Danio rerio: one gene and its partner. The protein of the gene in region 1 purifies or fractionates together with the protein of each later gene. This does not show direct contact. Links are inferred from orthologs where the notes say so. Each region holds a gene or a part of one and is shown on either strand. Other genes may lie near its edges. The genes, in order: cxcr4b and tmem63ba.

Region 1 (16,629 bases):
TTGCTCTCTCACTCCATGCAAACTGTAGTGCTTCCTGTTGCAAGTCAACACCACAGATCAGCACCCACACGAAGCGCATGGTGCAGCATGTGACTGCCTGTTTTACATGGTTTCACTGTAGCTCACGTGTAAACAACATGCTGCGAAAGTGAGAGTCAACATTTCTGATTGCAAACCGTGCATGGAGAGACTCAACTGTTCTCATTACTTCTCTGAGTCTATCTCTAAACATTTTTAAGGTATAACTAAGGCCTGCCCAACGAATTCTCTTGTGAATAAATGGTCATCTCCTCTAATTTCAAAGTGCTAAGCCATGACCTAATGCTATAAGAGGAAGAGCTTTCAAAAAGTCAATACGTCTGCCCCACACCCAAATAGGAAGCATAAGAAGGTGCCATTCGAAGATAAGGCAAACCTTTGTCTTTAAATATTTCCATTGTACAATCGTAAGACTTTGTTATTAAAAATTATATTAAGGCATTTCCTAAATGTATTTGGGATGTAATTATTATCTATAAATGTCTTTAAATAAGTTGCCTTTTCTTCATTTTGTCTTGTTTTTATCAAATGTCTAAACATTCTTCCATCAAGATGTTAAATAACACAATACATCAATATTAGGCCTGTTTTGATCAAACATTTTTTTACTTATAAATTAAGCTTCTGAACTTACTTTTGGTGCTTGTTTACTCATTTAAAATGAGTCAAAGCAACACAATTCTTAAGTTTTTTTTTTTTTTCCAGGACAACTTAATTGTTTTATGTTCAGTCCACTTAATTTTGTAAAAAATAATAAGTAGTAATTATAATAAGTAAATCATTATTTATTATAATAATAAATAAGTTAACGTAATCAATTTGGGTTGGGACAACATGAAACATATTTTACAGTGTTTGTTTCAAACAACTATAAAACAATATTCTGATCATTTTCTTTAACATGGAGTTAAATTTAAAGATATATCTGAAGAAATTTTAGAACAAGAAATGCTTCTTGAATGTATTAATTAAAATTGAATATATGTTGTTGTTGTTGTTTTTTTGGCATAAAAGATGTTTCATGTTTTCAAATATACTCAAAAACTGATTACTGCATCTTGTTCACACTACCTGTTTAAAATGAGCTGAAAGAACACTATTCATGTCATTTTTTTTAGCCAATTTATTTGTTTTTGTTCAGTTCACTTAAATTTGTAATGTTAACTTTTTGCGTTGTCCCTGCATTTTGAGATGGGCAAACATAAAGGAGTTGTGTTGGTCCAACTATCTGGTAAGGGGATTTGTAGTTCCCAACATGTTTACATGGGATTGAATAAAGAGAGGGAAAGGTTGACAATAAAAGTAATCTTAGGTGTTTAAAGTTCAGAGAAAGACTTGCTGGTGTTTAATCTTCACTTTAGTTTGAAGATTTAGAAGAGCTTCATGTAATGCTTTGAGTTTTAAGATTACCAACTTGCAGAAGCGCCCATGCTTTGGGTGATGGGCCAACATAAAGGAGTTGTGTTAGTCCAACTATCTGGTAAGGGGATTTGTAGTTCCCAACATGTTTACATGGGATGGCATCAAGAGAGGGAAATGTTGACAATAAAAGTAATTTTAGGTGTTTAAAGTTCAGAGAAAGACTTGCTGGTGTTTAATCTTCACTTTAGTTTGAAGATTTAGAAGAGCTTCATGTAATGCTTTGAGTTTTAAGATTACCAACTTGCAGAAGCGCCCATGCTTTGGGTGTTGGCAGCTTAATTAGCTAAAATGCAGTTTGTTGCTTTGCTCAGTGAGCAAAAACTGTCCTTAAATTAGTTCTGAGATCAGTGTCGATCAACTGTAAATGTAACTCATGAAATATGCTTAAAAATTTATTTTAGTTCAGGTAACTTCAAGAGATTTCAAAATGTGCGACACATAATAGTCATGTGTAAATAGTTTTTTTAGTTGGTGCTAAACATTTTTTTTTTTTTTTTTTTTTGCATGGAAATCGAGTTAATCCAATGAGTTATTGTTTTTGAGTAAACAGTGAATTCAAGAATTCATTTTTAGAAATCACAATTCCAGTGTTTTACCTTCAGAAGTGTTTGTCCTTTTTAGTGACAAGAAATTAGCTTTTCTGAACAGTTGTCAATATCTGAGAAACATCATGTTCTAAATGACAATATTTCTGTAAAATGCTGTCCGACCTCTATAAAAAAAAAAAAAAAAAAATATATATATATATATATATATATATATATATATATATATATATATATATATATATATATATATATATATATATATATATGTATATATATTATTTACATTTTACACAAACACATAATTAGTAAATGTGTACACTCTAAAACTGTTGGTTTTTATTTTTAAAACTCAAATTAATATCGAATATGGGTCAAATATGGACAAACCCATCCATTGGCTTTAAAGTTTTATATAAATTTAAATTTAAGGATTAACCCAAACCAGCATTTTTAGAGTGTAGGACCTGTTTTTTTTTCCCTGACACACACCTAAATTGAGAAACTTTATGATATATGAGCAACACACCATTTAGTCACGAAAGATGAAAAATATTCCCGGCTGGAACATGAATGGGCAAATCTTATCATGTCTTTCCCCTGGTTATGTTTCACTTGCTCTTGTTGAGGGGAGGTGGGTGAATCTGAAATATGCACAAACACAACCACAGAGATGCTGGAAGGAATTAGGCAACAGCCATCCAATATGCATTTCTGCATTAACAAATACAAAAAGGCATCATCAAACTAAGCATTGATATTTAAGGTGTTTTACGTAATGTTAAGTAATGTTTACGGCCCAATCAGATTGCGCACCAACTGAGAGCTTATATGTGAACATTTATATTTGATATTTCGAGAGTTTTAGAGACATATTTCCCTGCTGGAAATTTCTATTTCCTGCTGTCTTTCTTCCAATTGAGAAATCTCACAAGTCTTTTTTTTTTTTTTTTTTTTTACTTTTTGTAAATACAGTATTATTATTTCATAGCATTCTCAGTCCTACATAAAAAAATAAAAATAAATAAAGCCCATGAATGATTAGAACATAAATTTATTTTTATTGTGATGGATAATGCAAAGACTAGAAGTGAAATGTACTTTAAAACACACCAGGTTTACAAATACATGTAAATTAGTAATACTGACTGTAGCGTAGCCAAAAATGTGGCTTTTTGGTGGGTTTTAAACAGACATTTAGGCTACTTGGAACACAAAAACAAAACCACACATTAAACAATTTACTTAATCTCACCTGTATTGTATTTAAATTCAATCTAATTATTTATTTATTCATTAATTAATATATTATTTTTTTGCAGCTTAACTGCAACCCATCTCTGGGAAATATCCATACACAATCATTCACACTTATACACTATGGACAATTTAGCCTATCCAATTGACTTGTTTCAAATGTGTTTGGACTGTGGGGTACACCGGAGCACCGGGAGAAAACCCTGAACATTGAACATGGGGAAAACATGCAAACTTCACACGGAAATGCCAACTGACCCAGCCGAGGCTCGAACCAGCAATCTTCTTGCTGTGAGGCGACAACACTACCTACTGTGCCACCGCGTCGCCCCTTTATTTATTTATTTCATTTATATATCTTCTGTAATGAAAAGGGTTTTATTCATGAAACTCACCTCAGTCACTCTAATTAATGTTATAACCATTTTTCCATTATAAAAATTTTTTAATCAATTGCAGCTACTGTAATCATGTGATATTTAAATGTTAATTCTGTATTCAAAATTTAGACTAGCTACATTTGACTTTTAAATGTTAAAAAAAAAAAAAAAAAACAGGTTGACAAAATGTAAATCAGCCAGCTTGGGGTTTTCAGTGTCAGATCAAAGCAGAAAAAAAATCTCCACAGTCTTCACACAAACAGTTGGCTTGTAATTGCTGGAAACCCCCTAGCTCTGAATTTTAAGATTAATTATGTATCATTGCATATTTGCCAAAAAGCTCTATCTTATAAACCAGAGCTGATCCTTCAGCCCTCATCATATTATTATGAGTGTGATCCTTTTGCAGCATTGCTGACGGCCACGAATGAGCTGCGGCTGCAAAAAAAACAAGCATTGTTTACTCTCTGGAGGCTTTACACATTTCGTTCTTTATCTCCTCTGCATTCTTTTACCTTATTTCCATGCTTATTCCCTGCTCCTTAACTCCCTTGCCGCTCTTCACACTTTTTTTATTTGAATTCTAAACAGCGCACAGATCCTTTGTATTCAGGGTACAAACGAATTGTGTTTAATGCTCTCAGGACAGGGTATCTTATATTTCACAGGGGGGATTCTAGCGCTGGTTAGCGAAACACATCCTCCTGACCTGACCCTCACTCGCATAATTGAAAGAAAACAAAACACAGAGACATTGCCAGGTTAATAATTCAGTCTGAAGCGGCCTGTCAAAACCTGTTGAAACTTCCATGCTGGAGTTTGAGTCTGAATGCACTTCTGAGAGTGGTTTTATGAAAAATCTTGAGGAAAAATTGGCAGTTTTCTTGTGTAATGCTATGTTTTTTATTATTATTATTATTATTTTCTATGTAGAAGTATTACATCATACTGCATATTTTTGTTCAAAAAATGTGTCATTTCACTCATTTTTTTTTCTAATAACTTCAAATAATGCAAAGATAACTACCCAGCAAACAATTATGTGTTTAATAGACATTTAATAGACATCTAAATGTAGACAGCTTAGCTAAAACAGGTCTGTGAGTAAAAATCTAATAGACATCTAAAAATAGTACAAACTAGACATAGTCGTCAAATAGACAGATTAGACAGACTTTATATGTGTAGTCGATCTGTTTATTTGACGAGTAGTTTTGGCCTATTCTTAGACGTCTAGATTTTCGCTAACAGCCCAAGTTTAGCCTTGTTTTAGTCAAGACAACTATGTTTAGACGTCTACAGACATCTATTAGGCATTCTTTAAAGACAAAAAATTCTTACCTAGTATGGTGAAAATAATTTTACTATAAAAATATTTTCATTCAAAAATTGCTTGTGAATTTTACAGGTCTAGCTGGTGTAAGAGTATTTTGTTTATTATTTATTTATTTTTTACAAAAAAAATAAATAAATAAAAATATTAAAACTGTAAGTGAGAATAATTTTTTTGCATATATTAAATTGTGTAAATGAATCATTTTTATTCAGATATTGCTAGTATTTATTTTAGCAAACAACATTTTACATAATAAATTGGAAAAGATTGTGTAAACTATTTTACTCATATATTTGCAGAATTGCCCGAAAAAGTATAAAGAGTATAAAGACTGAAAAAAATAAATTCTTATAAAACATACTTCAGCAATTTTGTTTTTATATTATTTTCTACAGTTTGTGAAGAAAAAAAGTTTATTGAAAGAAAGAAAGAAAGAAAGAAAGAAAGAAAGAAAGAAAGAAAGAAAGATTTATATGATCAGTAGAGCAAAAAGAAAGCTCTAGACTTTTAAGTGTCTGAACTGCAAAAGATAGGATCAAGTGTTTATTGTTATTGGACACAGTTACATGATCCTTAAGGAAAAGAGCATAAAAATTCTCTCATGTCATCATCCGTCAGGGAACACTTCTACATCTACTCTTATTTGTCCCGAGTCACCTTCACTGCGTATCCATTACTCACCAGAGGCCCGAGCTGTTGAAGTTTCACAGGAACACAATGGATGGAGGAATCCCATCTGTATGTGACTCTGACTCCAAGAACTTTACTCAGACTCAGACACAACAACAAACAGAAATAAAAAAAATCACTGAAAGGGGGTTTATTTCAAATTACAAATACTTACAAATCAAATGTGTTCCATTATTTTTAACTTCTTTAGAATATAAACCAATTTCACTCAGATTTTGTGAGTACAATAAAATCTTCAAAACTGATTTAATATACTTACTTACTCACTCCCAGAGTCATTAATATCAAAGTTGATATGTAGCTGCACCACATTGCTGTTTCATAACATCTATTTTATGAGGTGGGTTGTTAGCCCAACGCTCAACCCCCAACTTGGAGGACAAAGACATACACACATACACTACAGACGATTTAGCCAATTCACCCGTACCGCATGTCTTTGGACTGTGGGGGAAACCGAAGCAAACCCCACACAAACATGGGGAGAACATGCAAACTCCACACTATACTGCTGGCCCAGACAGGGCTCAAACCAGTGACCTTCTTGCTGTGAGGCGACAGCACTACCCACTGCGCCACTGTGTTGCCCTGATTAAATATACATTTACCAAATACTGAAATACAAGTTATTTATTGCACCAAATTTACAAGCAGCATCTTTATTTAATTGTTTTATTAAAACAAAGCTCATGGACAGCACTGTATCTGACTATCACTTTAAGATCCAATATAGTGATATCTATTTTTTTCTTATTTATGACAGAATCAACATTATATTCAGTCATTCTGACAATTTTGTGTGCTTTATATATCTGTGTGAAATAAAGATAACTAAAAAATGCATCAGATGCTGTCTGAGGGCACTTCAGGTCACAGTGCAGTAAATGGTCAATGGTTTATTTTGTTATTAAGTAATTTTTTCAATTATTGTCACAGCTCATTGCATGTTATTCATGGTAATAATTAATCATAATTCTTATTTCTGGATGTGTTATTGTTGACTTTGGATGAGAAATTAAATGCAAAAACATATATTGTTTTGACTAAAATGTCAGATTATGTAATGTGTTTATGTGCTTCCTGCTAGCACATCTAAGAGGTGTAAATATGTTAACAGCCACAGTTGTGAATAGTAGTGTGACAGTTTGAACTGAAAACAATTCAATTGCAGATTAGTTCTAAATGCTGTTTCCCACCATGCAGTCAATATTATGACTGAGTATAAATATATACTTATGATAAATACTAAAAGTTTTAGCCTAGTATATGGTTAGTATAAATATTAACCCGAATAATACTAAAATAATGTATGAAGATTGTGTGTTAAGAATAATTAAACCACAAAAACATGATTAAACTGGTTAATAACTGAAGTGTTCATATGCAGAAACCTTCAAGTTAGATCTGGATTTTTTTTTAAATATGCATTTCTCTCAGCCTCCTTTGTTTATGTTCAGTTATTTCACATTAAAGGCTATGAAAATAACCTATTATTTTCCATTCATTAATTAATTTCCTCTCCATTTAAGAGGTCACCTCACTATTTCAGCCACAACCCAGTATTGAGAAACACCCATATCCACTCATTCACAGACACACTCATACATATGGACAATTCAGCTTATCCAATTCACCTATACTGCATGTCTTTGGACTGTGGGGGAAACCCAGAGGAAACCCACACGAACATGGGGTGAACATGCAAACTCCACATAGAAATGCCAACGAGCCCAGCTGGGACTCAAACAAGTGACATTCTTGCTGTGAGGCAACAATGCTAAAGACTGAGCCATATCCAGGTTAATAGAGAGGACCGGGAGAATTCTCTGTGGGCCGGTCCATATTTTGGCCGTGAGGGCCGGGCTGGTGTCATATCCTCCTGAGACCAAAATAAATCTTTTTTTCTTCTTTTTTTTGTGTGATTTCCTACATCCTTTGGTTTACAAAAAAATCTATAATTACGAGTTTTTACATTTTGTTTTTAATTTTAATTTTACAGGATGTCCACTGTAGTGGACCACAGGACGATTTCAGTTCGAAATGACCACCACTCAGACAACAAAACTGTACAGGATATGGCTGTAAAGAGATATTAATCCATATTAATGTAACAAAAACAAAAAAAAAACATTTTTTCCATTTGTATTGAAATTCCTGAAACAGATTAGTCTGAAAGAGAGCCGAACTCTCTTTTTTTCAGTCTTTATTTTATACATGTAGCTTAATATTTGTATTTATTTTTAATTTCAAGGTTTGGATGTTTATGAGCACTAATTCTTACAGAAAATAGATTCTGAACATTACATTGTGTTAACTGTTCAAATAAATCTTCACTGTAAAGTACTGATTTGAAAATGATGTTATTTTAATATAGTCAGTTGTGAACTGAAGTGGCCGGTCTAAGGTTTAAAACTCCATTGCTGAAAAGGTGTCCAACTCCGGCTCTGGCCATACCTCTATTCTTTTCCATACAAGTGAAATTAATGAACATGCACAGGGGAGCCAGGCAAAAATGCAGGAAAATTTCAGACAGCACTTAGAAGTTTTGCACCTGAACTCTTCAACTCTATCCTATATTTAACTTCAAGCTCTCCTATTTGCTTTATTTTTTTAAATCCATCCCACATAGGAAAATTTCTCTGGCCCAGCTCTGGCCCACACAATCAGGTTTTGCTTGGCCCACATGCCGCAGTGAATTACGGTACATGACTGGACCAAATCTGGCTTCCAGACAAGGGCCAAACACGGACCATATCTGGGCCAAGTCTCAGCCAAGTTAATAACTCATAACTGGGCCTGAACTGGGCCAGATAGGTTGGTGTGTCACGATCGCAATGAAATTGATAAACCCATAGAGTGATGCGCTGTAGGGCACGCTTTTTCTCAAAGTGACCTGATTGGTAGAATTTTTGTTTTTTACTCAAAAATGATTTTAGTGTATTTTAAATGTGAGTCAAGACTGGCCAATCTCACATGGCCCACTTATCAAATTTTTAAATCTGGGCCAAATACTACGTTTTTCATCTGGCCCAAATCTTGTGTGCCGCCTTAAAAACGGTGCCACCTCTGCCAAACCCGGGCCATGTTTGGCCCACATGCTGTATGCCAGTGCTGGTTGAATGCCTGCTGTGCCAGCTTTTTGCCAAATCTGGGCCAGAATTCTTTGCTACTAGGGATGCATGTTTCTTCATGACACTAACTAAATAAAAAGCAGCTGACATTGGCTATCAAGCTAATCGCACTTCATTAATTCATTTTCTTTTCAGCTTAATGAACCGCCAACTTATCCATGCAGCATATGTATTAAGCAGCGGACGCCCTTCCAGCTGCTACCGATCACTGACACTCCCGCAAATGCACAGAGACTCCCGGATGCCCGCGTAATCCCCCTGGTAACTTCTGGGAGACTTGGGATGTTTGGAATTTGGTCGTATTACATTTCCATAAAACACTGTGATATAACCGTGCTCAAATCGTATGGCTTTCTCACTACAATTGATCCACTTCAGAGTTTGTTTCATTTGAGCCGAGACCACCTCATTCAGGCAATCTCAGACGATTGTTTTGGCATGAATCTGAGCGGGACTGCTGAAATTTCATATGCCAAACGAACCGCGCTAACTGGGCAAACGAGACAGGTTCTGAAACAAAAGTCTATGTGTGAAAGCACCCAAAATTGGCTGTAGTGTATGTGAGAGTGTATGGGTGTTTCCCAGTACTAGGTTGCAGCTGGAAGGGCATCCGCTGCGTAAAGCATATGCTAGATGAGTTGATGGTTCATTTCACTGTGGCGACCCCAGATTATTAAAATAACTAAGCCAATAGAAAATGAATTAATAAATAATTAAAATATTAGCCAACTCTGAACTCGCATTCGGCAAACTCTCACAAATGAAATGATTAACTCCCTTAAATCAGCGCGTCATGTTTCAGAGAAATATGATCATCGTTAGGAGTCGCAGAGTTTGGATCTGTCAGGAAATGTTAGTTTAGGCTTATGATGGAGGCGACTGGGTGACCTTCTTCCTTCATCACTCACAATCAGAGCCCAGCATCAAATATATTGCAGGAAGGACCAGAGGAGAACCGTCATGCAGTAAATCACACTACAAAGCCTGATGTGTCCTCAAGTAACGGCCTTCACACTGCTCTTCACATGACGCGATAATAAACAAACTGCTGGGATTTCTGAGAGAGAAAGTCCACTACAGATGATCAGATGAATATGTGAGGGATCTTGTGAAGCCTTTAACACACAATAAACCCTGGCAGGGTGATCAGCACTTCAACACAACAAAGTGGCTTGTATTGCCCTTGAGGGAATTAATTTGTGATAATGACCTGCTGACTGCTCATTATCCCCTTTGTTGCACAGCTAATTAGCAAATAAATAAATAAATAAATTGACATCAAATAATACTTTGAATATAAAAGATATCTATCCGTCTGATTGTCTGTCTGTCTTTCCGTTTGTCTGCCTGTCTGTTCGTCCTTCTATTTATCTACCTTTTTCATTATCTATCTATCTATCTATCTATCTATCTATCTATCTATCTATCTATCTATCTATCTATCTATCTATCTATCTATCTATCTATCTATCTATCTATATATCTGTCTGTCTGTCTGTCTGTCTGTCTGTCTGTCTGTCTGTCTGTCTGTCTGTCTGTCTATCTAACTATCTATCTATCTATCTATCTATCTATCTATCTATCTATCTATCTATCTATCTATCTATCTATCTATCTATCTATCTATCTATCTATCTATCTATCTATCTATCTATCTATCTATCTATCTATCTATCTAACTATCTATCTATCTATCATATATCTATTATCTTTTTTTCATTTTCTATTTATCTATCTATCTATCTATCTATCTATCTATCTATCTATCTATCTATCTATCTATCTATCTATCTATCTATCTATCTATCTATCTATCTATCTATCTATCTATCTATCTATCTATCTATCATATATCTATTATCTTTTTTTCATTATCTATCTATCTATCTATCTATCTATCTATCTATCTATCTATCTATCTATCTATCTATCTATCTATCTATCTATCTATCTATCTATCTATCTATCTATCTATCTATCTATCTATCATCTTTTTTCATTATCTATCTGTCTAAGATGATAGCAATCTATAGTAAATAATACATTGTTTTCAAACCAAACTATAGTAATGTAGCCCACTTAAATTGATCTGGTGTTGTTTTTGTATAGTTGGTATGGAAACTGTGGTAGTAATCTTTGATCTGTTGTTTTGATTCTGCAGTTGCTATAGCAACACAACGAAACAGGAATATAAACAAATGACATGCTGTAGTTTTCTACAACAATAGGGTATACTATACTGGTACACTACAGTTTACTGTAGTAAAAACTAAAATAGGATATACTGCCTTTTTCTTTTTTCTCTTTTGTTTTTTTACAGTTGAACAGTTCTCTACAGTGCTGAAGCATTCATTAACAAAGTTGAAATACTATATGATTTACAATAAAATAGACTTTACTATAAAAATAGTTCAAAAACAGTTTTATTTTTTATAATTAGGCTACTATATCGTTTTTTTCATGTAGTAAAGAAAAGCAAATCGTCTTAAAAATATTTCTTCAAAACATTGTTTAATAGTGTTTTTCAAACCATGTTTTTTTTCTGTGCATAGGCTATTTTTGCTATTTAGCCCGAATAAACATGTAGATATTACGCTTCCTCTGTAAAATCCGCTCGAGCGCATGCATTTAACACAGTTTATTTTGACATGCCAGAGAGCTGCCGCTTACTCTCTCATCACCCCCCACACACCCACAACGCACAAGCGCCGCCTGCATCATGACCCCGCCCTGCTGAATAAAATTGGGCGTGTCTCAGGGAACGGAGGACTATTTAAATGCTGCTGTGAGAGGAGGGCGGTTGACTGAAGTGTGGAGACTTATTGCGCCTTTTTGAGCACACTTATAAGAACAAAATGGAATTTTACGATGTAAGTTGGCTTGTGATTAATTTATAACGCTGTGTTATCAGACATTCCATTGATAAGTATTATTAATAAGACTAGTTTAAGTGTATCATGTTTTATTACTTGCCCTAGGGTGTCACGTTTTACCATTCAGGCTCGTGTTTGGAAGCATTGGAAAATAACTATATATTTTTTTCAGTTATTTATTTATTTTTTGTCATTTATTATTAACCTTGTATTTGTATAAAACCATTTTACTTTTTTTTTGCATTTTGTTTTCTTGAATTATTATTATTTTTTGTTAGTATTATCGTAATAAAGTGGTATTTATATAAAAGTTAATCAAAATACTGATTTTTTTTCTTCTTTTTTCTGCAGAGCATCATTTTAGACAACAGCTCTGACTCCGGTTCTGGGGACTATGATGGAGAAGAACTTTGCGACCTCTCAGTCAGCAATGACTTCCAGAAGATCTTCCTCCCTACAGTATACGGGATTATATTTGTCCTAGGAATCATTGGCAATGGACTTGTGGTGCTTGTGATGGGCTTCCAGAAGAAGTCAAAGAACATGACAGACAAATACAGATTGCACCTTTCAATCGCAGACCTCCTGTTTGTCCTCACCCTGCCATTTTGGGCGGTCGATGCAGTCAGCGGGTGGCATTTTGGGGGATTTCTGTGCGTCACAGTCAACATGATCTACACTCTGAATTTGTACAGCAGCGTGCTCATCCTGGCATTCATCAGCCTGGACCGCTATCTTGCAGTAGTACGTGCCACAAACAGCCAAAACTTAAGGAAATTGCTTGCGGGAAGGGTGATCTACATTGGAGTTTGGCTTCCAGCGACTTTTTTCACCATTCCTGATCTGGTGTTTGCAAAAATCCACAATTCGAGCATGGGTACCATCTGCGAGCTTACTTACCCGCAGGAGGCCAATGTCATTTGGAAAGCAGTTTTCCGCTTCCAGCACATCATCATTGGCTTTTTGCTGCCTGGTTTGATCATTTTGACCTGTTACTGTATCATCATCTCAAAACTGTCCAAGAACTCCAAGGGTCAGACTCTAAAGAGGAAGGCACTGAAGACCACCGTCATCCTCATCCTCTGCTTCTTCATCTGCTGGTTGCCTTACTGTGCCGGCATCCTGGTGGACGCTTTGACTATGCTGAACGTCATATCTCACAGCTGTTTCCTGGAACAGGGTCTGGAGAAATGGATCTTCTTTACGGAGGCGCTGGCATATTTCCACTGCTGTCTCAACCCTATCCTTTATGCTTTCCTAGGCGTCAGGTTCAGTAAATCTGCCCGTAATGCTCTGAGCATCAGCAGTAGATCCAGTCACAAGATGCTGACCAAGAAAAGGGGGCCTATATCATCTGTATCTACTGAATCAGAGTCGTCCAGTGCACTGACGAGTTAGTGTGTGCATGTACACAAAAAAAGAAAAAAAAACTTTTCCACATGGATGATTAAGCTTATAAAAACAGGACTTTACTACAGTTTTTGTACATTGTAAAGTATTTTTGTGTTGATCTGATGACTTTTATTTTGTAAGACTTATTTTGTTTTTATTCAGCTTTAAAAAATATTTTAATTTTTTTATGTACATGTTTGTACTTTTATTGCCAGACCTAAAGGCTGAGCCTTGACAAAGTCTGTATTCTTGCTGAAGGTCTTATCAGGAATGTTAGCATAGTCTTTTGTTAGATTCCCAACGCGTAGTGTAAATTATTTGTACATAGTTCATTGTTTGCCATTGTGAATGTGTGTATGTGTGCACTTAGCTTTTCCAACTCAGTTTAGCTTTTTTATATTTATTAAAATGGTAGCTCACACTGTAAAAACTTTTAAAATGTTGAGTTTTGTAATTTAATTGTCACATTTTTGACGCATTTTAACTTCCATTTCATAATAAAACCTAAAAATCAACACTTTTAATGAGGTCTGATCTAGTGTTGTCTTACATCTCTCCAGTGGCCATTCTCACACACACACACACACAAACACACACACATACAGAAACACAGCCCCAATCTGTGAGTGGGGGTTGGTAGAGCTGAAGTGAAGGTCTGTCAAGTTACCAAAACAAAAGCTCCACCTGATCTCCCACTGAACAGAATGGTTGAGGAGAGGGTCTGTAATTTTAAGAACATCTGTGTTCTTTAGCGTTTTAAGCAACTGCTGATACAAGACACCCAGCAACCTACAAAGAGACAGAATTGGCCATCCTTTGGGTTTTCAGTTGTTGTATCATATAACATGAAAGAAATTAATATGGTAGTTAATTTAAACAAAATCTACAAAATGCCCATTTATGTATAATAAGTGTGAAAAAAAAATATTGCCGTTATTTTTTCCTTAGGATTTAAAGTATTATAGTAATTTCTTGTAGTATTGCAGTTAAAAAAATCTGAATAATGCAAATAGGGTGAAAAATTTTCATGAAAAATTAAAATTTGAAAAAAAAATTTGCACAAATGTACATATTAAATATTAAAGAAGACAACTAAACATATTTTATCTTTCAGTTTCATTAGTGTAATGACTTATTGTGTTTTACTTTTACTATACACACAAATGGGCTTTATAAATCGTGCACAAACAACTTATTTTACGCAGAATTGGTTTTGCATCTTTTTTATGAAAAAAAGTCACAAAACAAAAAAAACAAATCAAGTAAGAAAAAACAACAATCAAAAACAAATTAAGTGAAATAGTGAAAAATAAAACATTTTTAGCAGAAAAATATAAACATTTTATTCTTGTTAAAACTAACAATAATCTTGTTTTTAATATAACAGCATAGTGATTATTGTCATATAACCAACACTTTGCTTAAAAAAAGAAAAAAAGGGTAAAAAAAGAAGCAAAAAAGATTTTGAAGGCATATGTTTAATAAAACAAAAATAATAAAAAGCTGAAAAATGTTGAAAATGCAAAAATGTTTTGAAAACATGCAAAGCTTGATTGGTAATATATGACACCCAAACGCAGGATTCAAGACATGATACACAAACAATTTTATTTATAATGTAATGTGATACTGCAATGTTAATGAGAGATATATTTGAAATTACTGTATTTAAAAACAGTAGTCTGGACAGTAGCAAAACAGCAGCAAAGTAACAAAACAAAAGTATTGCTGCAATAAAGTATTTTGCAAGTATTTATAAGCATATATAAGCTTGTATAAACATATTTTTAATAAAAGTGGGGTGTAAATTACATACATATCTCACAAATTATGTTAGGAAAAAACACAAATAAGCAGTCATTTTATATTTTGCATCTGATGTCAACTTAGAATAAAGGAAAATTTCATCTTTCATAACTCAGCCTGTTACTGTTAATAAATGTCTTGCACTTCTGCGCTTTTGGCTGCAGTTTTATTGTACATATGCCAATCATCAGGATGTGGTCTACAAGTGCGATGAATAATTAGTTACAGAAGCAGGTAAGCAGCCCTGAAGAAACGATATGGGTAGAATATAGATATTCGCAAGGTTTCCATTGTAATGACCTGACTCATGTTTAACACACTGGGCTGAAATTATCATTTCTAAAGAGCTCAATGAGGTGTGAAGCACCCTGCATCATGCATTAAGTTTTATGGTATTTTTTCACTGTCTGCCCTCACAGTAAGAGGCCGGTGAAAATAGAGCATTCAGTGCTGCGTTTTGTTCATTTGGAAATGTTTTGGAATGGTTTGGTCATTAGCATGAGAGCAGTTCTCAAAAGCCACGCCACACCATTAACACTCCATTGAGCTCAGCTGGACCTTCTCTCCCATCTCCAGACAGCCATTTGAAGAGAGAGCAGCCAAAAGGAGCTTCTGGAAATCAGCTGGTAAAACCCTGTTATTAAAACTCAGACAAACCTTCAGCCAAGCACATTACAGGTTAAAAGCAGATGTTAAGTGCATCCAGACACACCAATCCTTTTAATAATTGATGGTTTAAATGGGAGGAAAAATGAAAGAACGAAATAACTATGAGGAAGAAATGGAAAGGAGCTACTTGAAAACATCACTTGAATCATTCATTAGAGAAGCTATATACAAAAAAAAGTATTAATTAACTGAAAATGTTTTAATATAAGTTGACTATGCTTTACATCCTCAATTTGAAACTGTAAACGTAAAATGATCTACTTTTTTAAAAGCAAGCTGCTTCCCAAATTTGGTCGGAAATGTGATTGACCTGTTTGTAGATGTGCATAAAGCTGCCAAGGAAGTGGTTTTGCACAGACGGTTGATTAAACTGTATTTCCTCCTCCTTGCTATTAGTTTATTATTATGTTTACATTGTTTTGGCTGGAAAATTAGGATGGGGAAGGAAGCTTCCTGAATCAGGACCTCCTGTGACCAATGAAAGACTTTATAGCCCTACATAAAACCACTGAATAGAACAAACAGAACTGGTGGTCTTTAACTCAAGACAAAGGCTGCTTTTAGGATATTGATTGCCTGATGATTCTTCCAATGATTTCGTATAGCCTAGCCTAATAGTGTGTACTTGTTTAGATATGAAGAGTTTACATTTAATCCAATAAAATGTTAGAAAACTGTATGGTAAAGGGACAGTTTTTCCCAAATTTTGTATTTTAGTTGAACCTTCACTGACATTTTCAGTTACAATAAATGTATTCTATCTAAAACTGTTTATGTTTTATAAAAAGGACAAAGGTCTCCTCTTAGTTACGGTCAAATCTCTGTGATATACAAATCTATAACATAAAATTTTACATGTAAATAGGTGTCCAAAATGTGAAACATTACTAAGCTTCTACATTTTTTTTTTTACCAAAGTAAATGTCACACCAAGAGCCTGTTTTATTGTGATGTGTGAATCTATACCGTACACAATGCCTTAAAAAAATAATTAACTGTACTTCAGTGCTATCTTACAGTTTTTCAATAGCTTTGGTGCATTACTCAGATCGCATTTAAAATTTGCAAAACAGTAAATGCCTTTCTCAA
Region 2 (16,177 bases), on another chromosome or scaffold:
ATTTACAAAAACGTGCTGCATTTTCTTACAACATTTTTAAATAGCATGAAACACAACGGAAACGTTTTAAGAGAACCTAAAATGTGACGAACCTGGCTATTAAGTTATGGTTATTCAGACTAATAAAAAATAATATATATCTATTTTCATTTTTATGTTTTATTAATTTGTTTTCATTGTGTGAAAATGCTGTGTTTTCGTAAATTGTTGCGTTGGGTGAAAACGCAGCATGTTTTTTAAAATTCGTTTGAGTTGTGAGAAAACGCAGTGCATTTTTGCTCATTTTTGTGTTGTGTGAAAATGCAGCACGTTTTGTTAATTTGTTTGCGTTGTGGGAAAATGCAGCACGGTTTGTCAATTTTTTTTGTGTTATGGGAAAATGCAGCACGTTTTTGTAAATTGTTGCGTTGTGTGAAAATGCAGGCGTTTTCGTAAATTGTGAGAAAATGCAGCATGTTTTCTTGGTTTGTGTTACGTGAAAATGCAGCGTGTTTAATTAATTTGTTTGTGTTATGTGAAAATGCAGCGTGTTTAATTAATTTGTTTGTTATGTGAAAATGCAGCGTGTTTAATTAATTTGTTATGTGAAAATGCAGCGTGTTTAATTAATTTGTGCTACATAAAAATGCAGAGCATTTTATTAATTTGTTTGTTACATGAAAATTCAGCAAGTTTTATTAATTTGTTTGTTACATGAAAATGTAGCGCGTTATTAATTTATTTGTGTTATGTGAAAATGCAGTGTGTTTTCGTTAATTGTTACGTTGTGTGAATGCAGGCGTTTTCGTAAACTGTTGCGTTGTGTGAAAATGCAGCGCATTTTATTAATGTTTGAGTTGTGTGAAAATGCAGCAAGTTTTATTGATTTGTTTGCGTTGTAGGAAAATGCAGCAAGTTTTATTGATTTATTTGCGTTGTAGGAAAATGCAGCACTGTTGTGTATGCGTTGTGAGGAGGATCTTTTCTTATTTTGTGTGCAATTTTTGTAATTGCATGTGTTTTCTTAAATGCAACACGTTAAGCTCTCGACTATCTTAGAACTGTCCTTTATACTGTAATTGTTAAAGTCTGTTGCAATCTACCTATTTTTACTTGTAATTGTCACCAAATAAGTAATCTTTTAATGCAAAAGATTTAAGGGTGAAATCTGTAAGCAAATATATTATTATAAAACATTACTGGCCAACTGATACAGCACTACAGCTGTCATAATTCATTTTTTTGCTAATCATTTATATTTTTGGTCTTACTGACTAAACATGCATTGTAACGGCAGGAAACTCTGTACCTACCAAATCCAGGACAAACAATGTGAGGATGAATTATGAAACTATGATGAACAATATTGGAGTACAATCACAAGCCACTCTCCAGGTTCTTGACAATTGGCCATCCTGTCTCCAAACATTAAAGATAAAGGAGTGTTTGAGCTGTCAGCTGGGATGGACTCACACACAGTTAGTGTAGTGTATCTCCGTTTGGTTATGTGGGGAGTCCTGCTAGTTTCTCTCAGTTCAGCACATGCCGTGGCCCGGCCTGGGTCACTGGTGCACTTCGTTTTCAATTAGACTGTCCTCTCCTGACTGGAAGTCACCCTCGGTCACCCCTTCCTCGTCCTGCGATGACCCTTGACCCTGGTCACTTCCGGTCTCGTCTGAGTTTGGGTCCTGTAGCACTTGAGCAATGTACGTCTGCTGTTGATTTAAAAAAAAAAAAACAGTGCAGAATGTGTAAAGCAGATAGAAAACATCAGACAGGACAACATAGTAGTGCGTCAATTAGGGCTGCACAAAACAGTTGAAGAATTATTAGCTCCCCTGAGAATATATAAACATCCCTGAGGGTTAAAACTTACCATAGACTTGACCGGTGGGGATGAACCTCGCAGTCGTCCATTGTCCACACCATCCATGTCAATCTGCAGAGAATTCAATCACATTTGGGTTTATAATTCTGGCCTTTATGATTTCTTAAAATCATAATCAACCTGTTTCTGACCTTGTAATTGTGCGCGCTGAGGTATTTGAAATGACCGAAGACTATATGCGAGAGGCAAATAATGATGGTGATGATCAGAACCACAAAAGTAAACATGGATGTCGGAGCACCAAATCCTGTCAGATTGAAAAAAAGACAAGCAAGATTGAAAAATCATATTACAGATACGCCAAAAATCTGCCTGTACTTTTTGCTACTTTTAGCACTGCTGTATTTTTAGAAACATACTGTAACTGCATCTTGAATAGGGCTGCACAGTATTGGAAAAAACTTTAATATTATTACATATTCACCAGGTGACTTGAACATCTATTTTTAAAAAGCATTCATCATTTTTGAAAAGGAATAATTGTTTTAGATTGATTGGAATGATATGTAGAGCACTGCATCTGCATAAAATATAATTAATTACATTCGATAAATGCAACTGAGGCAAAGATACAGGTCACACTTTACAATGGGGTTTTATTAGTTAATGTATTTACTAACTAATTATAAACGATACTCGTACAGCATTTATTACAAGTGAACACGAACTAACAATGAACAACTTTATTTAAACAAACAATGTAATAAATGTATTGTTCATTGTGTATATGTTAGTGAATACACTACCTGACAAAAGTCTTGTCACCTATCCAAGTTTTAGGAACAACAAACAATAACTTGACTTCTAGTTGATCATTTGGTCTCAGAAGAGGGTTATATTAAAGGCAAAGGCCTCTAGATGACGCTTATTTGGTCAAAATTAAATATGATCCAGCCTTGATGTTTAATGATTTAATTAGGACAGTAAGGTCTGTCTTTGCTTAGACAAAAGTCTTGTCACTTAACCGAAATAGTGTCCAGTATAGAATATAAAGTCATGCTGCAGTGCAAACAGAATGAATATTGTGTCTGACTCCATCATGAGCTTGGAGGACTGCATCCATACATCTCTGCAATGACTCAAATCACTGATTAATAAAGTCATCTGGAATGGCAAAGAAAGCGTTCCTGCAGGACTCCCAGAGCTCATCAAGATTCTTTGGATTCATCTTCAATGATTCCTCCTTCATCTTACCCCAGACATGCTCAATAACGTTCATGTCTGGTGACTGGGCTGACTAATCCTGGAGCAACTTCTTTGCTTTCAGGAGCTTTGATGAAGAGGCTGAAGTATGAGAAGGAGCGCTATCCTGCTAAAGAAATTGCCCTCTCCTGTGGTTTGTAATGTAATGGGCAGCACAAATGTCTTGATACTTCAGGCTGTTGATGTTGCCATCCAGTGTGCACATCTCTCGCACGCCCTCATACTGAATGTAACCCCAAACCATGATTTTTCCTTCACTAAACTTGACTGATTTCTGTGAGAATCTTGGGTCCATGTGTGTTCTAGTAGGTCTTCTGCAGTATTTGCGATGATTGGGATGCAGCTCAATAGAAAAATCCACCTTCTTTTCCAAATGATCAACTAGAAGTCAAGTTATTTGTTGATCCTACAACTCGGGTCGATGACAAGACTTTTGTCAGGTAGTGTAGTGTCTGACCAACTGTAATCAAGACTCAACCCTGCAGAGCTTGCAATGTTGATTGATGCTAAAACTTTGTTGTGCAGCCCTTATCCAGAGCATGTCTACAATCAGGCAGAACACAGAGACCGTTCTTACCTTGACGGACAGTAGAGAAGAAGAGCAACCAGAAGATGCAGAGTATAGGTGCTGCCACCACCTGGTTGACAGCTCCAGAGTGGATTTTCTTATCCAGTTTGGAGGGCAAGTAGGCATAATACATATTATACCGGTCTACCAGATGCTTCAGAAGCATGTACATCAATCCTGCGGGTAAAAATATACAATTATTTATTTTTTTCATTCATGTAATGAAGACTAAAACTCGCATGATTCCACACCTAGTCATGCCGTCATCAAAATACACCTTTGTTTGTTGTGAATATGCACCCTCTAGTGGCCAAAACACATACTAGTTTGTTAGTTAGTTTATTTATATAGCACATTTTTTACAACACAACGTTGCCCAAAGTGCTGAACACAATCAATACTAAACAAAGTAACACCTACATCACATACATAACAATACTGAGCCTTTAAATAATACCTCAGTGTAGGTTAATTAATTATTTACTCACCAAATGGTACAATAATTGGACAGGTGATGCTGTAGGTCATGACCACAGTGAAGACATTCATCATCCAAGCATAAGCAGCTCCAAACTGGAACTCATAAGCTTGATGCTGTAACAAAATGCATTTAATAGAAGCAGAATGAGAAATTCAGAAACAAAGGAGTGAATACAGTACATACATTTAAATGAGATAAACTCTAAACTACACAGACCTTCTTTACATTGCGCCTTTCTGCAGCAGAGCGCGCCAGACACAGCCGGATCATGTACATGAGGAAATAAGGAATGCGTAACAGGTCCATGGCGTTACCAATGAAGGCAGACGCAATAACATAGTTCACAAAGAAAGCTCCATTATCTGGCAGGAAGACACACCTAACAGCCAGGAAAAAGATCATTAAAACAGAGATGAGGGGAATTTTTATTTTTATTGAAGTTTTTATTGCAAAGCTACAATTCACAACATCAGTAGACATTTGTCACTTTTCTAGCTTTTCCAGTTTAACTTCCCAAATCAGGGGATGAAAGGGGACGATTTTAATGCTGCAATTCCTGATGTGGACTTACCTGAATCGGATTGTTGCCTCATCAAGGAATTTCTTATCAAAAAGCCAGCGGAAGAAAAGATCCAAACTGCATTTGGGGAAGAAATCATGTTGAGTGTTTAATACAATTTAGAACCAGTTCAACAAAACTAACACAGCCTCCAAAATAACAAAAATAAATAAATAAACATTTTATTTTTTCCAATACCCATGTAGTGATAAAATACAGTATTTGCATTTGAAAGTGTTTTTGTAATATACACAGATTTAAACTAGCATTTAACAACGACTCTTATCAGGTTGTTTATTCAGGAAAATAACATTTTTATACTCCTTTAAGCATAAAATTATGTTATTATTATGATGCAAATGATTACTGTAAAACAGGAAGGTAATAATTAACACATATCTAATTAACATCTCTCATTCAAGAGGGAAAAATTCACTCAGTTACCACTTAGCATTTCTGATGGCAAATGTAAAGAAACACCTATACTAACTTCTTTTTTTTCAAATACCCATGAGCATATGATATGCTTTTTAGTAACAAAATACAGTATCTGCATATGAAAATGTTTTTGTAATATACGCAGATTTAAACTTAGCATATAACAAAGACTCTTATCAGGTTGCTTATTCAGGAAAATTAACGTTTTACACTCCTTTTAGCATAGATAGTTTTCTATGTACACCAGTGGTTATTAATTACCTGCTCAATCCAAGAGATGGCAATAGCAGAACCATGAAGATGAGGAAGGTGTAGCACTTGTGCATGGTTGTTCTGTTCTCTCCAGATCTGAAAGGCAAAGGTCCAACACATTTTCAGCTTTTAGCACCCTTATGCGTGTGCTAGGCAGAAAATAGTTTAGTATAGAGCTGCACGATATTGGAAAAATCTGATATAGAGATATTTTAATAAACATTGTGATATGTTTACAGTTTCACAAGATGGTTTGAATAGCACTATTTGACAGTTTTCGGGGAAGTATTGACAGTATTGAGGAACATACATTTAATAATCACAACGTAAAAAAGCTTTTCTTACTTTACTTTGTCTTGTTTCTAGTGCAAATATTTGAGTAAAAATATTGTTTCCACCTACAAAAGTAATATCAATATATATATATATATATATATATATATATATATATATATATATATATATATATATATAGGTTTATATATAGGGTAAGCAAAATAATGGGGTAAGCAAAATAATCTAGTATGCTTTTGAAATGTAGATATTTGGACCAGAAACAAGACAAAAATTAGAAGAAAACCACTCACTGGCCACTTTATTAGGTACACCTTATTAGTACTGGGTTGGACCCCATTGTTCCTTTAGAACTGCATTAATCCTTCGTGGCGTAGACTCAACAAGGTACTGGAAATATTCCTCAGAGATTTTGGTCCATATTGACTTGATATCATCACACAGTTGCTGCGTATATGTTGGCTGCACATCCATGATGCACACCACATCCCAAAGGTGCTCCATTGGATTGTGATCTCGTGACTGTGGAGGTCATGTGAGTACAGTTATCTTATTGTCATGTTCAAGAAACCAGTCTGAGATGATTCACGCTTTATGACATGGTGCGTTATTCTGCTGGAAGTAACAGCAACAATACTCAGGTAGGCTGTGGCGTTGACATGATGCTCATTTGGTGCTAATGGGCCCAAAGTGTGCCAAGAAAATATCCCCCACACCATTACACCACCAGCCTGAACCAATTATACAAGGCAGGATGGATCCATGCTTTCATGTTGTTAATGCCAAATTCTGACCCTACCATCCAAATATCGCAGCAGAAATCGAGACTCATCAGACCAGGCAATGTTTTTCCAATCTTCTATTGTATGATTTTGGTGAGTTTGTGTGAATTGTAGCCTCAGTTTCCTGTTCATAGCTGACAGGAGTGGCACCCGTTTTGATCTTCTGCTGCTGTAGCCCATCCGCCTCAAGGTTGGACGTGTTGTGGGTTCAAAGATGCTTTTCTGCAGACCTCGGTTGTAACAAGTGGTTAGAGGTACTGTTGTCTTTCGATCAGCTGGAACCAGTCTGGCCATTCTCCTCTGACCTCTGGCATCAACAAGGCATTTGTGCCCACAGAACTGCCGCTCACTTGATATTTTCTCTTTTTCAGACCATTCTCTGTAAACCCTAGAGATTGTGCATGATAATCCCACAAGATCAGCAGTTTCTGAGCCAGTCTGCCACCAACATCCATGCCACATTCAAAGTCACTTAAATTACCTTTCTTCTCCATTTTGATGCTCGCTTTGAACTGCAGCAGATCGTCTTGACCATGTTTACATGCCTAAATGCATTGAGTTGCTCCCATGTGACCACCATCACATGTGACAAATTTTCATTAACAAGCAGTGGGACAGGTGTACCTAATAAAGTGGCCGGTGAGTGTATATAAATGTATAAATACTTAAATACTGTACAATTAATTTCTGTTACACCTCAAAACATCATAATTTTTTTGTGCTCAAATGTTTGAAACGAATGAAATGCTGAGTCACAGAACTTAAAAGCAATCTATTGTGCAGCCCTAGTTTAGTTGCTATAAATGGAGACCATCTCCGGGTCAATTAGGTTAACTGATATACAGGGATTGGGATTGTACCGTGTCCAGTGGGCCTCAAAAAAGGCGGAGTAGTAGACGATGGTAGGGAGGAGGGCCGAAAAGCACCACAACAGCAGGGTAGGGAAGAACTGAGTGACGATGGGGTTCTGGAGGAACAGACACAGGGAAACGGAGGGAGGTTTGAGATGACTGACAGAATCATGACTCAAGAGCATTGTGTTTATTAGAGCCATGGCGACTGGCGAACAATTATTTGAGAAATCAATTCTGCAACGATGCTGAGATTTTCAAAGTGCATCCCTATTTTGTATTTTTAATGGATTCTGACATTAGTTTTTAACAGCAGACGGCGCTGTAGGCTAGTTTTCAACAGCAGACGGCGCTCAAGGCTAGTTTTTAACAGCAGACGGTGCTCTAGGCTAGTTTTCAACAGCAGATGGTGCTCTAGGCTAGTTCAGCGCTCTAGGCTAGTTTTCAACAGCAGACGGCGCTCTAGGTTAGTTTTTAACAGCAGCAACGCTCTAGGCTAGTTTTTAACAGCAGACGGCGCTCTAGGCTAGTTCAGCGCTCTAGGCTAGTTTTCAACAGCAGATGGCGCTCTAGGCTAGTACGGCGCTCTAGGCTAGTTTTCAACAGCAGATGGCGCTCTAGGCTAGTTCGACGCTCTAGGCTAGTTTTAACAGCAGACGGTGCTCTAGGCTAGCTTTTAACAGCAGACGGCGCTCTAGGCTAGTTTTCAACAGCAGACGGCGCTCTAGGCTGGCTAGTTTTCAACAGCAGACGGCGCTCTAGGTTAGTTTTTAACAGCAGCAACGCTGTAGGCTAGTTTTTAACAGCAGACGGCGCTCTAGGCTAGTTTTTAACAGCAGACGACGCTCTAAGCTAGTTTTCAACAGCAGACGGCACTCTAGGCTAGTTTTCAACAGCAGACGGCGCTCTAGGCTAGTTTTCAACAGCAGACGGCGCTCTAGGCTAGTTTTCAACAGCAGACGGCGCTCTAGGCTAGTTTTTAATAGCAGATGGCACTCTAGGTTAGTTTTTAACAGCAGACGGCGCTCTAGGCTAGTTTTTAAACAGCAGATGTCACTCTAGGCTAGTTTTAATAACAGACAGCACTCTAGGCTAGTTTTTGACCATGCATTCAAATGCTACGAGAAGGAGTCATGTAAAATGTTATATGTATATATTTTGTATTGGATGCTTGCAGAGCATGACTGTTTGTAAAGCATACAGCACCATCTGCTGTTAAAAACTGAGCACAGAATTGATTCAAAAGTGAATAGTGATGGATTTTGAGAATCTTAGAGTTAATTCAAAATCAATTTCTCAAACAGTTTTTCACTACCGCGTGAGTTTTCATTACAACCTGGACAAACAGACTCCTTACATTCAGGTATTCCACAGGTTTAGTGACGTTGAACTTGTCCATCGTGGAGATGATGATAGCAGGGGTGGTGAGGAAGAAGAGGAGGAGGAAGAGAAAGCAGTTGATGACAAAGCAGCGGACCCACCAGTTCAGGCCACTAATGGACAAATGCTCCCTGTGGAGAACAAGGTATAAGTTACAATTACCACAATGAATGATACAACTGTTATAAGCATATCCAACCATAAGGTAAGACAGAGAGTACAATCAAATTTATTTATGGTCATTTCAGCATGTGGTGGCTTTAAGTTGGCAAGCTCAATACAGAAAAAATATTACGGTAACATTTTAGTTTAAGTCACTCTTCACTACTGGCTTATTACCTGCCTTTTATTAATATACTAACTGTAAATTAGTAGCTATAATGAATGATCTTGTTTTACATCCCTAATCTTAGCCAATACCTAAACCCAACTGCGACCTTACTGACAATTAATTAGCAGTTTATTGAGCTATATGTTTTGTTAATGGTTTGTTAATAGCATGAATTGTGACTTAAAATAAAGTGTTACCTATATATTACTTAATAATAATAATAATGACAACTTTATACATTAATAAAGGCACTTTTTGTTGTTGTGAAGAATTGTAAACTATACCATATTAGCCAGTAATATCATAAAAGTACATCCTAACTTCACCTGCAAAACTAGAATATACAAAGCAATTTATACTATATAACATATCTCGGCTCTGTGATTATTTACTGTACACTGTTTGACCTAATATCCATATAATTGGACAGATCTATCTATTTAAGGGATAGTTCACCCAAAACTGAAAATTGTCATCATTTTCTCATCCTTCATTTGTCACAAACCTGTTTTAGTTTCTTTTTACTGTTGAACTGTTGAAAGAAGTTATTTTAAAAGATGTTGGAAACTGTTTCCTATTGTTAACTATTTCCTTTGACAGGAAAAGCCGCTATATCCCGAGAACCAATCAGAAGGCATGAATCGAATCACGTTTTCAATGTACAGCGTGCTGATATGCCAGCTTAATGAGGAGACTGTTTTATTCCGCTTTCGATTTCGGTTTTAAAAGAGAGTTTGATGAACTGGATGAACCTGTCCGGCTGTCAGTGAATGGCAAATGAAAATGTCCCTTACCTCAAAACTCTGTGAATTATAAGAAAAAGAAAACACACTGTACAGTCGAAAGTGTAGCATGCATTCATAACGTTTTTTGCGCAGTGACGCTACTTTGAATGAGTAGAATTTGCCATACATTAAACTGCAACTGCATTTCATTAAAGACAGAGTTAAGATGCCGTTCTTTTATCCCACATGGATGAAATGAGGATAAACAAGAGACCAAGACCTTGGTGGGGATGGATGGATGCATGAATGAATGAATGACAGCTTTTCAAATTGTCTGAGAGGCATCCCCTTTTTGCCCAGTAGGCCTACCTTGTGTTTTATTTGCTAATTTAAGCTATTTTTAAAAGATGAATTTAATGTATGAAACTGTACATTTATATTAGCCTTCTTTATAATACCCATCCGTCTGATAAGCTTTTTATATTAATGGACAATGCACAGATATTGATGTTTCATCATGTTTTACACTACATTATTTAGTAATTGTAAGTTTAGCTTACAATGTTTGCAATGTTTACATTGCTGTACTTACATTAAATCTAAATCTTAAATATCAGAAATGACAAGAGATTGTTCAGATTGAATTACTTAACAGATTTCATACATTCATTTTCCTTCTGCTTTTTCCCTGGTTTATCACAGCGGAATGAACCACCACTTGACGCATTTATATATTTTTAATTGTAGGTAGTTTGTGTAATGTGTTTTATGCTTGGTAAAATAATTTCTAATTGCATCTTTAGGGATTTTTAACTAAATAAACTGTCTTGTGCCAATAGGTGGATTTAGAGGTTTTTGCAAAAAAGAACAAGTGGATTTAGCATTTTTTGGCGCAAAAGAAAATTTACATTGTTAAAAACCAAAGAATTATCTAAAGTGAGATTTTTGAAAAACGTGTATTTTATTTACTATATAATAATCTTATCATTACATATAAAATTAAACTTTTAAACCTAATTAGAAGAGCCTGATAGAAAATGCTCAATTACAAGAAAAGAGGTCTGATGGATTTAAAGGGTTTTGCATCTGAACTCTTCAAATACTCGTCAAAATACCTTCTTTTGTGTTCAACAGAAAAAAGAACCACTTTTTAATTTTGGGGTGAACTTTCTCTTTAAGTACTATATATGTCCAACTTTTTTTTTTTTACAAAGTGTACACTAAGATAAAATGATTGATTGATTTCAAATTGACGTGCATAAAAAATCTGGTGTAGATGTCCAATTATGGTCTTTTATATCTAAGTGGACAGTTCCACAACAATATGGATTCTGGTTTATGCACAAAGTCAAGCACTATAATCATAAGGATCATTACTTGATGAGGTTTAGGAAAGGGATGTTACCAGTAAACATTTTGTGGATCTGGAGCATATGAGACCGTCCAGTTGTATGTGTGGAGTTGGCTGCTGAACGGGGAGGACTTTGGCTGTCGTCGACAGTGACAACCGTGACATTGACATGCGTTAAAATCTTTCAGGATGCTGGGAAGAGAAAAAAACAGAGATATTAATATTATTTTCCCTTTCAATAATAAATCCCAATGGAGACAGAATTGTATCAGAAGGTAACGATTTTAACATTCATTTGAGTTTTACTTCAGAGAATATAATGGCAAAACCTGATCATTTTCTCTTCTTTTATTTTAAATATCTTTACTGCATTTTAACTTTACACTTACATAGTACAGAAGTAAAACAGCAACAAACCAACAAATCAAACAAAAAAACTTCTCAGTATTTTAAATCAATATTTATGACCTATCTTCTTATTCATCAATCAACTCCACCACATTTTAGGAACAAACTGAAAGGTCAATTTCAGTACTTTTTGATTAGTGGTGTAACACACAGACACCAGAACATTACATAGACTTACAGGGCTGCCATGGCTTCATTCTGGAAGGTAACGAAGGCCATTCCCAGAGGTTTAGTGTTGACTTTTTCTCGTTCTTTTCTGTATTCTTCCTTCAGTTTGGCCTCAAGCTTAGTGTAGTAGTTCACAGCCTCTTCCTGCAGTGTGGATTAAAATGACCAAAGTCAGACATCACTACTTAAAGGTACAATGAAATTACAATAAAACTTTTTAGATGTTAGAATCAGTATTGTTCCTTTGTTTGCGATTTTACGATCGCTGAATCCAACGCAAAAATCAACAAAAAATTGCAAATTTTTGTGACCTTGCAAAATTCTTACTTGAAACGCAAAATAATTTCAAAAAATTTAAATAATCTCATAAAACATCAAATTCTAAACCATGCAATCAAATTATATTGAAATCAGTTTGCAATTAATAGTTTTACATGACTTAGATGTTTCGTACGCAGAATTGAGCGAATGTCATGGCATAAATTGGGTGTTTTTTGCGTTTGACGTGTTTAAGGCTGCAAATAAAAGTGGGAGCAAACATCTAACAAATGGAGCAATGAAACAGACAGAAAACAGCAAGCAGCTTACAATGATGGAGAATGGTTCAATGATGACGGCAGCTGGAAGTGACCAAATTGAAGGAAATTATATATATTTTTTCAATCCCAAAACTTCCACAAGTTTCTGGAAATCAACACCAAAAAGTCTGTAGTTTTTAATTGCAAAAATCACAAAAAAAATCGTGGTCTGCCACAGTATAAGCTAGTGCACACCAAAACAATGACAAAACACACATTTAGGAGACATGAAATTGATATAAAGATGCAAAGCTTGCAGTTTGTCACGTCCGCCTAAATCAGGGGTTCCCAAACTCAGTCCTGGAAGGCTGGTGTCCTACAGATTTTAGCTCCAACTTGCCTCAACACACCTGCACGGATGTTTCTAGCCTAGTAAGAGCTTGATTAGCTGCCCCAGGTGTGTCTGATTGGGGTTGGAACTAAACTTTGCAGGACACCCGGCTCCCCAGGACAGAGTCTGGGCTCTCTTTGCCTAAATGGATCAATGGTGTTATTCACGTAACCTCATACTTTGGTTTCTCATCAAATCTTGACCAATCAAACGCTCTCTAATGTCTGACATCCCCCGCCCCCTTCAAGACACAAGTTTACATTTGATGTGCTTAAACTCAACCACTCCCACTGGCAGAGCGCTGATTAAACCAAACACTATTGGTTGTTTTTTTTCTTAAAAGGGGAGGAGCTACACTATATACCACTCACTCTTTATATTAGATTATGCCAAACATCAAATAAAAATGCACATTTCAAAGCACTCATGGCACCCTTAAATACATGTTGTCAAAAAGTCTTCAATAGAAGTGTCAAGGCTGGACATGAGACAGATGCTTTTGCTTTTCTATCAGCTCAAAACTCTCTAGTGATGTTTTTTCTTTGACCTTTGGCATTTTTGCTCACAGAACTGCCACTCATTGAAAGCGCTCTCTTTTTCTGACCATTCTCTGTAAACCCTAGAGATGTTTGTGCGTGGATCAGCAGTTTCTGAAATTCCCAACCAGCCCGTCTGGCACCGACAACCATGCCATATTCAGCCACTTAAATCAGTCCCTCCAGGATTGTGCAGGGACATTTCTTTGTATATTTGCTGCCTAAAATGACTCTCAAAATGTAATATTTATTTAAAGTCTTGTGATTTTTTCAAAATTTCAAAATCTCAAACCACTGAACTCACAATATTCTGGAGGGTTTTCTCCATTTCGATGCTTGATTTTATCTGGATATTGTCCTGACAAGCTGCTGCCTTATGATTGGCTGATGAGGTAATTACGTTAATGAGTAGTTGAACAGATGTAACGGTCCCATTTAATTCAGCTACATCCCAATGCTTTAAGTGAACAATTAAGCATATCATACAAGTTAGATTAGGGCAGCATTGTGGCTGAGTGGTTAGCACTGTCGACTCATAGCAAGAAGGTTGCTGGTTCGAGTCCCAGGTTGGGATTTCTGTGTGGAGTTTGCTTGTTCTTCACATGTTGGCATGGGTTTCTTCCAGGTGCTCCGGGTTCCCCCACAGTCCAAACATATGGGCTATAGGGGGAATTGAATAAACTAAACTGGACATAGTGTATGAGTGTGTGTTGGAATAGTTGGCGGTTCATTCCACTGTGGCGACCCCTGATAAATCAGCGACTAAGCTGAGGGAAAATGAATGAATAAATAAGCTAATGTAATGCCATGTCAGGAATGAAGGCTTTTTTTATGGCAAAAGAATGAATTAGAAACAAAAACAATTTTAAAAACAACAATATCGCTTTAAGTTTTTAAAAAAAAACTTCTGCAGTCATTCAAAGTGAGACAGTTTAATAAAAAAAATGTTGTACAAATTTTAAACAGTTAAGTAAAAGTCATCTAACTATTTATTTTTTACATGCCTGCAACAGCATGTTTTCCCCAGCAGTCATTTACAGTCATCGTCCAGCAGGTGGGGATGTGTGCTACAAAAAAACAGCTCTCTGACAAACCGGAAGTCTGCTAATCTAGAGCTGCTGAATAAAACAGCACTGCTGTTGAACACATCTCTACATCATCCTGTCCAATATGATTAAATGTAATGAAACAGAGATATAGGCAAAATGCACTAAAGGGGATGTTTGTGTCTAATCGGGAAAAAAAATGTATTAATTATCATGCATTCATGATTTAAAGTCATAGTACAGCCAAAAACCCAAAATGAAAATTCTGCCATCATTTATTACCTTTAACTTGTTTAAAGCAATTTCTTTTGTTCTGTCTGAACACCAAAGAAGATATTTTGAAGTATGTTGGGAACCTGTAACCATTAACTTCAAAGTATTTGTTTTTATTATGGATATCAGTGGTTACAGATTTCATTCTTAAATACTCAAACTGGTTTGGGACAAGTCAAGGATGAGTAAATGATGGCAGTATTGGATTTTTTAGGTAAACTATTACTTTAAATATGTATGTTAAGTGAAATATGTCATCATTACGCAAATTGAAAGGTCCTGCATTGTTTATTACCCTTGATTTGTTTAATACCAATTCTGTTGAACACCAAAGAAGATATTTTGAAGTATGTTGGGAACCTGTAACCATAGACTCCCAAAGTATTTGTTTTTACTATATTGATATCGGTGGTTACAGGTTTACAATATTCTTCTAAATACTCAATCATGTTTGGAACAAGTCAAGGACGAGTAAACAATGGCAGAATTTAGATTACTGGGTGAACTATCTCTTTAAATTTGAATGTTAAATAAAATGCATCATCATTACCCAACATGAAACTTCTGCTATTATTTATTAACCTTGACTTGTTTAAAACCATATTTCTTTTGGTTCACCAAAGAAGATATTTTAAGGTATGTTGGAAACCTGTAACCATTCATTCATTCATTCATTTTCTTGTTGGCTTAGTCACTTATTAATCCGGGGTCGCCACAGCAAAATGAACCACCAACTTATCCAGCGAATGGTTTTGCAGTGGATGCCCTTTCAGCCGCAACCCATCACTGGGAAACATCCACACACACATTTACACACACACTCATACACTATGGACAATTTAGCCTACCCAATTCACCTGTACTGCATGTCCTTGGACTGTGGGGGAAACCGGAGCACCTGGAGGAAACCCACACGAAGGCAGGGAGAACATGCAAACTCCACACAGAAACGCCAACTGAGCCGAGGTTCGACCCAGCGACCTTCTTGCTGTGAGGCCACAGCACTTCCTACTGCGCCACTGCCATTGAACCATTGACTTCCAAAGTATTTGTTATATCAGTGGTAACATGTTTACAACATTTTTCAAAATACTAAATTGGTTTGGAACAAGTCAAGTATGAGTAAACGATGGCAGAACTTTCATTTTTGGGTGAACTATCACTTTAAATATGCATATTACAGTTAAAGTCACAATTATTAGCCCCCTAAATTATTAGAGCCCCTGTTTAATTAAAAATTAAAAACTGCCTTTATTTTAGTCAAAATAAAACAAATAAGACTTTCTCCAGAATAAAAAATATGATTAGATATACTGTGAAAATATCCTTGCTCTGTTAAACATAATTTGGGAAATATATATATATAAAAAAAAAAATTCAAAGGGGAGCTAATAATTCTGACTTCAACTGTAAGTGAAATGCGTCATCATTAATGTTTTTGTAAGTGATCTAGATAACTGCTACTGTCCTAAACTCTTTGAGTGGAGACTTGAGAGGTTTTAATGCCCACGACATATGATAGTCCCATGAGCATCAGTGATTCTGACCTGCTCGCAGCCCTTGATGATGCAGCAGCAGAGGTGGCCGCAGGGTTTGGGGTTAATCATAGTCGGGATGTGCTCCCTGGACATCAGATCGGTGTAAAACTTCTTACTGCGTTCAGCCTTTTTCCTGAATAAAAGTAGCAGAAGGACAACACTGAATTGATCACAACTTACAACTTCAATTATTAAAAAACATTACAAGAAATGTCTA

The links.
Region 2: the proteins of cxcr4b (region 1) and tmem63ba purify together in Homo sapiens (co-immunoprecipitation; 3 studies listed by BioGRID and IntAct, with this or other methods). This does not show direct contact. The link is inferred for Danio rerio from reciprocal best matches to the Homo sapiens genes CXCR4 and TMEM63B.

The regions. Positions count from the first base shown.
Region 1 is NC_133184.1:10,807,849-10,824,477, forward strand, and holds cxcr4b (C-X-C chemokine receptor type 4b), read left to right. Parts: upstream 1-11,616; 5' UTR 11,617-11,655; coding exon 11,656-11,670; intron 11,671-12,024; coding exon 12,025-13,071; 3' UTR 13,072-13,589; downstream 13,590-16,629.
Region 2 is NC_133188.1:50,469,515-50,485,691, reverse strand, and holds part of tmem63ba (CSC1-like protein 2), read right to left. Parts: intron 16,094-16,177; coding exon 15,970-16,093; intron 11,803-15,969; coding exon 11,669-11,802; intron 11,275-11,668; coding exon 11,137-11,274; intron 8,807-11,136; coding exon 8,653-8,806; intron 7,412-8,652; coding exon 7,305-7,411; intron 5,465-7,304; coding exon 5,378-5,464; intron 4,757-5,377; coding exon 4,691-4,756; intron 4,499-4,690; coding exon 4,336-4,498; intron 4,233-4,335; coding exon 4,127-4,232; intron 3,816-4,126; coding exon 3,648-3,815; intron 2,115-3,647; coding exon 1,999-2,114; intron 1,919-1,998; coding exon 1,856-1,918; intron 1,695-1,855; coding exon 1,542-1,694; 3' UTR 1-1,541. UniProt on the Homo sapiens protein: Mechanosensitive cation channel with low conductance and high activation threshold. Osmosensitive cation channel preferentially activated by hypotonic stress.